2 linked regions of the Schizosaccharomyces pombe genome follow. The protein of the gene in region 1 interacts with the protein of each later gene in a pairwise test. Each region holds a gene or a part of one and is shown on either strand. Other genes may lie near its edges. The genes, in order: hsf1 and inv2.

Region 1 (5,204 bases):
GAATGGCCTGTCGTATTTATGGGCGTCTTAGCTACTGTCTTGGTGAACATTGGGTTCTTACCTCAATATATCAGTATCTTTAGGGCTCGCGCTGTAACTGGCATTTCCTATCTATTTTTGGCCATTGATTCGTCGGGATCTCTGTTTTCCTTCCTTTCGCTTCCCTTTGATCGTTGGGATGTACTGGCAGCAGTCGATTATGGCCTTCTCTTCATTATAGAAATGGGCGTGTTTGTTCTAGCCTTTATATTTAATGTTTTATTGAAAAACAAAAGCACTCCTACCGACGAAGATGTCACTTTCACTGAAGAGGATGGGGACGAAAAAGATGAAGAATACAGCGACATCTTTAGTATTAAGGGAAAATTTAATACACGACCAAATGCCTGGCAAAATGCGTACGATTCCGACACTAAAAGCGCCATCCAAATCCCCTAGTTTACAAGCTTTAATCTACAAAACTGCTTATTATACTTCCATTAATTTTACCCCCGCTACAATCTAGTTTATGCGAATACGAGATGAAAGTACATGAGAATAATGCAAAGTGTTCGTTATATACCATGCATTTATAAATTATTTTAATGACATTCAAGAAATTCATAAATTAACATTAAAACCAACGCAACTAGTTCGTCGGATTATCGAATCCTTTTGCAATTGAAAGTACTAATAACCTTCTTAGCATAAAAGGACTTACCAATTTAAATATAATGGCATCATAAAGATGTATGTGTCGTACACCGTATAAACATTAGCTTGAAAATTCTAGATGGAAAGAAAAAAGAGAAACTGTTTGAATTATATAAAACTAAATGAAAATAAAAATACTCCATAAACTCATGCACACAAATCGTTAAGCAAATCCCCGAATTAACAGCTTCAGTAACGTTCTGCCCTTTTCTAAAAAATCGTAATGTCTATCCATCCGTCAACGTACATCTGAAGGCTGTAAAAATGGTAAAATCAAAAGAAAGCCCCACCCATTTTTATGCACCAATGCTTGATTTCCTCTTCTTTCTTACTTGTCTAGGGGAGGACACTGTCATTAAAGATGGATTAACTGATTTCTGCTGATTAGGCAAAGAAACGGGATTCGAACCAAACGTGTTCCCGTTGGATGCTTCAATGGGTGACGTTAGATTCGAAATATTTGTAAATTCATCAAAAACGGGATTTGAGTCCGGGAAAACATCCTCATTTGGAGGAATGTTTAATACGCTGTCAAGATCAGATGATACAGGCAAGTTCAAGTTGGTGGGTGAATTAGCAGAAAACCCAGCATCATCAATCTTTCCGTCACCCAGCGGGATACCTAAAATATCCGCCAACGCTTGTATATTCTGATCCTGCTTCGTAATTCCATCTGATAACTTAGAAATTCTTTTTTGATCCATGGCATAGCCTGGGTGGAAGTTTGTAAGTTGATCTTCTGCATTATAGGAACCGTAGGACGGATTCGAATTTGACATATAATCAACTGGTTGAACAGGTTGCAAATTAGTCGATTCCGACAAATTTCCAGAAGGTTGGGAATTTGACACCGATCCTCTGTAAGAGTTATGGTGCTGTTCAGAAGAAGTGTTGTTAACCGGATAAAGTGAATTGGGATAGTCGAAAAGAAGAGGTGACAGGGAATTCATATTCGATCCTTCAATACTATTGGCATCATCTAACATATTGATAATATCACCAGTGTTCACGACTTTAGGATCAGTGGTATCATCTCGATTTAATGAGGGTACATCCGTATTAGGTGATTGATTGGGAGAAATGTATGAGTCAATCGAATTGTTAAAGGAATCGGCAGATTCCTTTTTAAGTCCTGGCTCATTCGTATAGCTTTGAGAAATATAATCCTTCGGTGAATGCGAATCCGAATTAAAAGAAGAAACATAATTTAAAGCTCGTCCATTTTGAACGGATCTGTATTTGCCCTCTCCATCAGGAGTCGTATTGTGTAAAGAGGAGATACTAGCACTACTAGAATTAGCAGTAGTACCTTGAGGTGAAGGCCTTGAATGCGCAGACGGTTCATTCGTAGGTGAAACCGTAGGATATTTAGCTTCTAATAAGAGCCGACGACTTTTGGGCATAACTTTGCTAGGTGGCTTCTGTTTACCATCCAAATATACACTGGCAAGAAAACGAAGGATCTTATCAATCGTCTCTTGATGGCGACGTTGTCTCTCGCGATTTTCCATATTTTCCTGCCAAAGAGCTGCGTTATCGACTTGGATCCTACTGAGTTCGTTCGACAAATTCATCTGCTGGATGCGAATATTCTGTAGCTCAGAGGATATCGTAGACATGTCTAAACTGGTATTTGATTCTTCAACGGGTTGGCTACCGGCCTTTTTTCGCGTTACTAGGCATAGTAATTCAGGTTGGTCACGTTGAAAGTTTGGATTTGCAAACTCGAGAAGCTCGTTGGGACTATCGGATTGTAAAACACCTTGCTGTATATGAGGGACTTTATGAAAGCCGTACACTGTAAAAAGTTAGTAAACCAAAAAAAAAAAAAAATGAATGTAATAAAATGAGATGCGAAGGACAAGAAAAGATAGAAAAGGGCTTGACAAAGACTAATTAGATAAATAATCAATAATTCCGAAGTATTGCAATATTTTTCATATCGTCGAAAAGTGGAACGGAAGAACAATCGAAAGAGATAGTCGTTGTTAAGCTTACTGATCCAAAAGTTTTCCAAAGCCCGATATATCTTCGAATAAATGCAGACAAGTAGGGGGACACATTCATAATAAAAAAAATTAATTGTGTAAAAGCTTGTCTTCGACTTTTTGTTACACCTTCACTTTTTAAAGACACTTACTGTTTAATTGCCGAACAAAACTAGAAAAATTATTGTGCTTGAAATACCGTGGAAGAACCAGCTTAGCAAAATCTTCATGCCCTATAACCAAAAACGAATCACCCCGGTCGCTCCATCGAATTAAGGAATCTGTCGACGAGTCGTTCACCATATTGTACAGTTTATTACTAAACTGTGTGATTTTCCTATTTTGTGAAGAACCTGAGCCCGACATCCCTACGGACATCGAATTTTGTGTCCCATTCATCTCCGGTGAATTTGCGCTGCTGGACTCCATTCCCTGATTCGTTCCGCCATTGCTTGAAATTGTCGATGCAGTCTGAATCATTAAAAATCAATTTATTATGGGTGCCGTTAATTTAACAAAAATATATATGTCCGTTACTGATTTAAAGGAATTCTCAGTACCTTCTTCTCAACCACCAGGGAAGAATATGCAGTTCGTATTTCACAAGGTTCAATCAAGATATTCTTAAATAATGTATACTTTCTCAGTAGCTTTAACAAGCTCTCACCGAAATTTGAAGCGGGTGTCGTTGGTTGATGTCAAGTTATATTTTGCAATAATCCACTACCGAATGATTACAATACACCATATATCATTCACCGGGGTATATCGCTAATTTGTTTAGTGAGGTCATTTAGCCACTCGGTATTTATTTTTGGTGTCGGTTTTGCATGCAACAAAAAATGCAAAAAATTATTAAATCGAATAAATTGTTATGTGTCAATTACAGATTAACTTACTAACGCTACTAATTAAGCGTTTCCGTCGCCGAGACTAATAACTAGATTTCACATGAAGATTTATTGATTGAAAAAATTCGTCTCTTGATAGATTTCGTAAACGATCGGCAGTCAAGTTATTATAGAGTTTTTACTTTTTTAATAAAAACTCACCATCATAACCCGACACATATAGAACTCTCACATTAAAAGTAATAGAAAATATATACAAAAGAAAAAAAAAAAAGGATTAAAGTAGAATTCGAGATAAGTCGAGTAAGGCATCACGTAAGGAGGTACCAATTTGCGAATTAGAAAACAAAACCCCTTCATATAACAACAAATGGTAAATAACGCCATTAAATAACACTAAACGTCACAACTCATACAATTTTATCGTTTTTGGACTGGCGTTCAACAATGTCTTCGCCCAATGCTGCTAATGTATGAATTGATGCTCGTGGAAATGATTGACTATTCGGAAATGCGTTTATGTCTGATGTCGTATGAGATGAATGTGTTGTATGCTCTTGATCCTCGACTGATAACTCGTCTATGCGTTGACTTTTTGCATCTTCAGACACCATTTTCAGTATCTTTGATATTGACGGTGTAATGCAATCACTAGCTCGACGGCGATTTGGAGAATCAATTTCGGTCAATTGGAAAGTAGGGCGTGGCCGAGGACCAGTGGAGGCTCTTCTTGGAGTAAGAGGCATTTTCATTGGATTCATACCTTGGGCCAACGAAAATATTAACGCTTCTTCTTTTTCATCCCAACCAGGCAAGTGCCCTTGGTGAGCAGACTCATCAACGGCGGATATGGAACGACCAACGGCAGACAGGTTCGCTAGAGCCGAAGCTGCATCCTCCTCCTTCCTAGTTGAAATACTGTTACGCTTGGAAGAAGAATGTTGTTCAAGCTTTGGTTCATAGTAATCCTCCTGCTTTATGGTATCCTGGCTAATATCCATAGGCTCGTCCTGTGTCGGCGTTTTCTCATGAACGGATTCTTTGATTTGCAGTAATGTGTTATTCCCTTCATTTTCAGCTGTATCATAAACGTCAACATCATGTTTGAAACCAGACACAGTCTCGCTCTTATCGGTCATATCAATAGACATAGGGTCAGGCTCTTGAGCTCCTTTTTCAATTTCATAAGCACTATTCCCTTCAACCAAAGACTTTATTTTTTCATCCATTTGTTCATCAGCATTGTGATTATTAACATTCTCATTCGCAGATTCAACATTTTCAACAGAGGGCGTATTATCCCAAGTATTCATATTATCAGCAGTGACGGAAGCTTCTTGAAATTGATTATTGATATTCTCTTCCGTTTTATTAATATCCGCAGCTTCAATATCAACCATAAGAGCAGAACCCTTGGACTTTTTCTTTCCACCTCTTTGAGAAGGAAGGAGCTTTTTTCGCCGACGACCCTTAGTTTTTGTTGCAGATGCTACCAAAGCTCGATAGTCAGTTGTCCTTTTTGTCAGATAATAATGTAATACACATTCTTTAGAGTTTTTTCCTGGCACTGCCTCTGCGATTTTACCAAATTTTTTTCCATGTAAAATAAATTGCTGAACGAAAATGGAATGCTGTTCTTCATTCCATATGTCAGGCATACTTTGAAAGTGAT
Region 2 (5,013 bases), 1.7 Mb from region 1:
AAGTTAGTTGTAAAAGATAATTAATTAGAAAAAAATAATAATAATAAAATTTAGACGAGTCAAATAAAGTGAATCTGTCACTTTGTTTAGGTCGTCAGCTGTATACGAAAAAAAGGTAAACTACATACGCATCTGCTTGATCACTAGAATACCATTCTCCAGCATCTTCATAAGCTCCCAGGGCAGCCTTTGTGTCTTGGAGCTCTTGCTCAAAAATGTCTCCCAAGTCCATTTTGTAATTAGCAGCACGGCGGAAGTTACCACGTCTTGTAAACAACTCGATGGCAATTTGTAGTACACGAGCTGCTTCTGAAGGCTTTTCGCGTCGATAAGATTTAAAAGCTTCCACATAAGTACTTGCAGCGTCATCCTTATCATCCGTTTTCAATTGCATCTCAGCAGCCTTTTCAAAAGCATAACCTGCAGCAGATCCTACACACGTTAGTAATTGAAAAGTAAATCAAAATCATTACCTTGCTTTTGCAGTCTGTAACCATTAGCAGCGTCTAAGAATAATTCTGAAGCTTCATCGTATTTGTTTCCTCCTCCAAAAAGCGCAAAGCCACCAGTTCCTTGGGCCTTTTTGGCGGCCTAGAGATGTTAATCAACTATATTTCCGCAACTTCTTGCATACTTTTTGCATTAATTGATCAGGGTCTGCGATCATGGAAAGTATGGTTATTGGTACGTTGAACTCATGCTATGTGTTACTTATGGTGTTATATGCCTTTATTGATTAGGGTATTAAGTTATACTGTAAATACGACAGCAATCATATTTAAAAATATGTTTTTAGACTAACTAAATCTGTTTTCTTCAGTTCATCAATTTTTCTTTTTCACCTTGTCAACGGAGGATAGAATTGAAATTGGGAACTTTTTACTCAAGAATGGGAAAGCATAGGAGCAATTCGTAATAAAATGTTTCTTTTTTTTATAGTAATTTACAAGTCAGACTAACAAACATAGAGCTGTTAAAAATAAATATTTGGTATATACATCTCCAGTCGTGTTTAAAAACTTGGCGTCGGAATCGACGCAGAATAACGACAACTGTAAAGAAATGGAACGGAATCAAATTGTAACAAAAACAAAAACAGAAATAAACAACGAACAATAGTGGATAACGTGTGGATTTTTGGAAACTATATCTTATCCATTTAGATGAGAAATAGTTTGGAAGATGGGTATCGAAAATCCCGAGTAATTTTCGGAATTTACTAGCCACGTGTATTCATAACATACTTGGATTTTCATCAATACACAGTAGAAAATAAGAGAAAACGCTGACGGAAGAAACTGTATCGATTTCGTATTGCCTGATTCATTTGGAACCTAGGAATGCGGTCTGTTGTTTAATAATGGTTGCATGCCTGATTTAGCTAAAGAAGCTCCAGTCGGGACACGAAGGTAGTAATACTGCAATGGTTCATCTCCCTTAAAATAGTAGGCGTTTGTTAAGCACATTATTCCTCCTTGCAAATAAACTTCAATAATGGAGTGATCTACTACAGCTTCAATTTCCAATATATAATTATCTTCGTAAGAAGAGGGAGGAACAGAAGACGTACACCGTTCAGGATATAAAGGATATTTCCAACTAGACGAGCATACACCCCTTTCGACGTAGACGGCACCGTCGTGGAATCGGTATCCAAGTTCAAAATACTCCTTAGAGGTCTCAACATCTGGCGTGGTAGACCATGTCAAGCATAAAAACTCCATAGGGGATTCTAATACAATACTTTTCGGAATGGAAACGGCGAGGTAGAATACAGTGGCACTAGTCCAGACAGTAGGAAATTCACAGACACGGTTTAACAAAAGTGGAGCTGGTAGAGAATCTGGATAGTAAAGATGGTGAAGATTAACTGGACGTTGACGTAGCACAAGACCACGCGTTTCTTGATTGAGATGGGTGTAGCAAAGAGTAAGTTCTCGAGGAATAGTAAACATACCTCGATGTTTCATACGCATAGGAACATCGTTCGTATAGTTCCAGTTACTTGCCCAAGAGATGGAAATGACTCTTCCATCGGGTGCATTACCAAACGTTTGAGTGGCATAGCAATCGTGACCGCAATCCAAAATTCTGGACGCGCTATCAATTGGAGTGAAGGTTTGACCATCAAAATCTCCAATAAAATATTGAACCATGCTACCCCCATTGATCGAAGAACCAGGATTAATGGAAACAATCAGTACCCATCGAAACTCGTCGGTACCCTCGATAGGGAGACGAACAAAGTCAGGGCATTCGTATTGGTATCCTAAAACGCCTGCAGAACCAAATTCCGAAAGTTTTACCCAATCGCGAAGGTTTAGGGAATGGTAAAACAGAACTTTGTATTTTTGAGCTAACACTACAACCATGATCCATGCTCTACTTTCTTCATGCCAAAACACTTTTGGGTCGCGGAACTGCGATTCCTTGATGTCGAGGATGGGATTCTTTTTGTATTTGATAAATGTGATACCTCCATCCAATGAGTAGGCAATGTTTTGAGTTTCACGATTATCATAATGCGTTGTATAAATCAACACAATTCTTTCTTCAGGGTCAACCGACTTTCTCGAAAAAAATCCACTTTCAAAAAAGCCTGATGAGTTGGTTTTATCGATCACTGCGCTTCCGCTAAACATTAATCCATGATCGTCTCCAGGTGCAAGGGCGGTAGGTAGTAATTTCCATTTATACAGGTTTTTACTCACTGCATGGCCCCAATGTTGATTACCGGCTTGGTTTCCTGTTGGATTCCATTGAAAAAACAAATGCCATTTTCCATTACTGTAAACCAGACCATTGGGATCATTCATAAATCCTTCTGGAGGCGTGAAATGTATGCATGGTCTCACAGGCATCGATTCAAATGTTTACTGTGCGTTTTATATGCAAACTTAAAGCTTTTATATTTAATAATGTTTGAGTATCACTAGAACATACAAATTTTTAAGCTTTGTGTAAAAAGTGGTACATCGGTCGTATGCAAGGAATATTAAGCAATTCGGTGCAAATCAGTCAAAAAGCTCAAATTCAATCCGATAGGCTTAAACATTCTCAATCTACCAACTCTTCAGTTTGAAACTCACATCTATCTAGACTATTGCTTGATTAACTCAACACCCACTTAGCCAAGCAAATCATTACGGGTTGTGTACTCGAAATTAAAATGTCGTCCAACTACTGTATTTTTTACAGCAGCTACCAAATACACACATATACTACGACTGTAAAAAAAAAAGAAATTTAAAGAAAGACAAAAAGAAAAAAAAATTAGAAGAAAATATACGAGAATGTAATGAGACTATTCCATCGTGTAGTACACAAGATCTAAACGAAAAAGAACTCTTAGACAAATAAATTTTTTAAAATTGGTTCATAGTAGTGAAAGTATGGCATCAATCATGAGCAACGAGCTATCTATGCGTCCGCCTTGGGCTCAGCTTCGCCTTCTGGAGCATTGGAAGGAGCGTTTTCTTGAGCTCCCTCGGTGTTACCACCAGCAGCGGCGGCACTGTATTCAGCATCAGAAGTCCATAAGGTAAGGTTGTCACGCAACAATTGCATGATTAAAGTAGAATCTTTGTAGGATTCCTCGGAAAGGCTGTCCAACTCGGAGATAGCTTCATCAAAGGCTTGCTTGGCTAAGTAGCAAGCACGGTCGGGGGAGTTCAAGATCTCATAGTAGAAAACGGAGAAATTAAGAGCAAGACCTAAGCGGATAGGATGAGTAGGTGCAAGTTCGGCGGTAGCAATTTCAGAAGCGGCCTTGTAACCTTCAAGAGATTGATCAGCGGAGTGTTGGCGCTTCTCACCAACGGCAAACTCAGCAAGGTAACGATAGTAGTCACCCTTCATCTTGTAGTAGAAAACCTTGGATTCGGCAGAGGCAGCATTAGGGATAAGGTGCTTCTCAAGAACGGTCAAGATATCTTGGCAAATAGTGTCAAGTTCTTGTTCAATCTTTTGACGATATTCCTTAATTAATTCAACTTGAGCAGTATTGCCTTTGCTCTCCTCCTTTTGCTCGATGGAGGAAACGATACGCCAAGACGCCCGGCGAGCTCCAATTACATTCTTATAAGCAACAGAGAGCAAGTTACGCTCTTCGACGGTCAATTCTTGATCAGTGGAGGCAACGCTTTTCATGTTTTCAACCATGCCTGGATATATTAGTGATAAGTACATAAGGATTTCGACTTTCGAGATGCGCAGCATGATGTATTTTCCGTATGTCTGTATGAACAAAAAAATTTCTTCTCGGAGTAAAAACAATTAGAAATAAAGTTAGGAAACAAGTTGAAATACTAAAACACCTTTTCAACATCACCATAGCCAATGCACAGTTCATTTGACAACCACCATACAACACACAAACACAAACATTCTACCAACTAAGCCTCTGATCACAACTATGTCAAAAATAAATGCAATCGATGTTTTACAGGAAGCCCGCTTACTCAAAAGCTTCCGCCGATAGAACCTTGGATGTGTGTAATTTTGTTCTTGCAGAAATAACACCAAATATATCTCTGCTCTACGCGTCTCTAAACCTTATAAAAGCACATACCTTCATAGCGCTCGGCTTGCTCAGCAAGTTTGGCTAAATAAACAGCATCTTCACGAGAAGTAGTAGACATTTTTACCAAACGTTCGAAAATGTGAGTATATCGTGGTGGTTGGCACTGGAAAGGTTGCGGAACGTCGTATGGTAGAAAAAGGACTGCTCCCACAGTAAAATTTCGTAGCACTGCGTAAACGTGCCCTGTGCTTCTGTATGTCGAATTTAGCGACTGCGCATCGTAATTTATCGGCACGACAGAAGGTTATCGAAAAACCTGGCTGCTGGACTGTTCTCGTTTGTTGCGACAAAGCCCCGGGGTAAACACATCCTTGGCAACGGATCAAGAGAAACTGTACCCCTTTTGTCATATTGACGCAAAAGGTAAACATCGAAAGGAAGGTGCCTGAACACGTGCAAATCTGCAGGCCTTCATAGAATCGGGAAATAAA

The links.
Region 2: the proteins of hsf1 (region 1) and inv2 interact in a two-hybrid assay, tested with the Schizosaccharomyces pombe proteins (one large-scale study listed by BioGRID).

The regions. Positions count from the first base shown.
Region 1 is NC_003424.3:5,057,432-5,062,635, reverse strand, and holds hsf1 (DNA-binding transcription factor Hsf1), read right to left. Parts: upstream 3,382-5,204; 5' UTR 3,162-3,381; coding exon 2,834-3,161; exon of another isoform or gene 2,823-2,833; intron 2,678-2,822; exon of another isoform or gene 2,492-2,677; coding exon 990-2,491; 3' UTR 580-989; downstream 1-579. Other genes in the region: SPOM_SPAC2E12.03C (vacuolar basic amino acid transmembrane transporter), read left to right, coding at 1-438; Set3 complex SANT/Myb domain subunit Snt1, read right to left, coding at 3,943-5,204. UniProt on the Schizosaccharomyces pombe protein: DNA-binding protein that specifically binds heat shock promoter elements (HSE) and activates transcription. Also required for growth at normal temperatures.
Region 2 is NC_003424.3:3,383,895-3,388,907, reverse strand, and holds inv2 (beta-fructofuranosidase), read right to left. Parts: upstream 2,970-5,013; 5' UTR 2,862-2,969; coding exon 1,335-2,861; 3' UTR 689-1,334; downstream 1-688. Other genes in the region: sec17 (alpha SNAP), read right to left, coding at 129-432, 474-591, 635-667; 14-3-3 protein Rad24, read right to left, coding at 3,421-4,163, 4,571-4,640.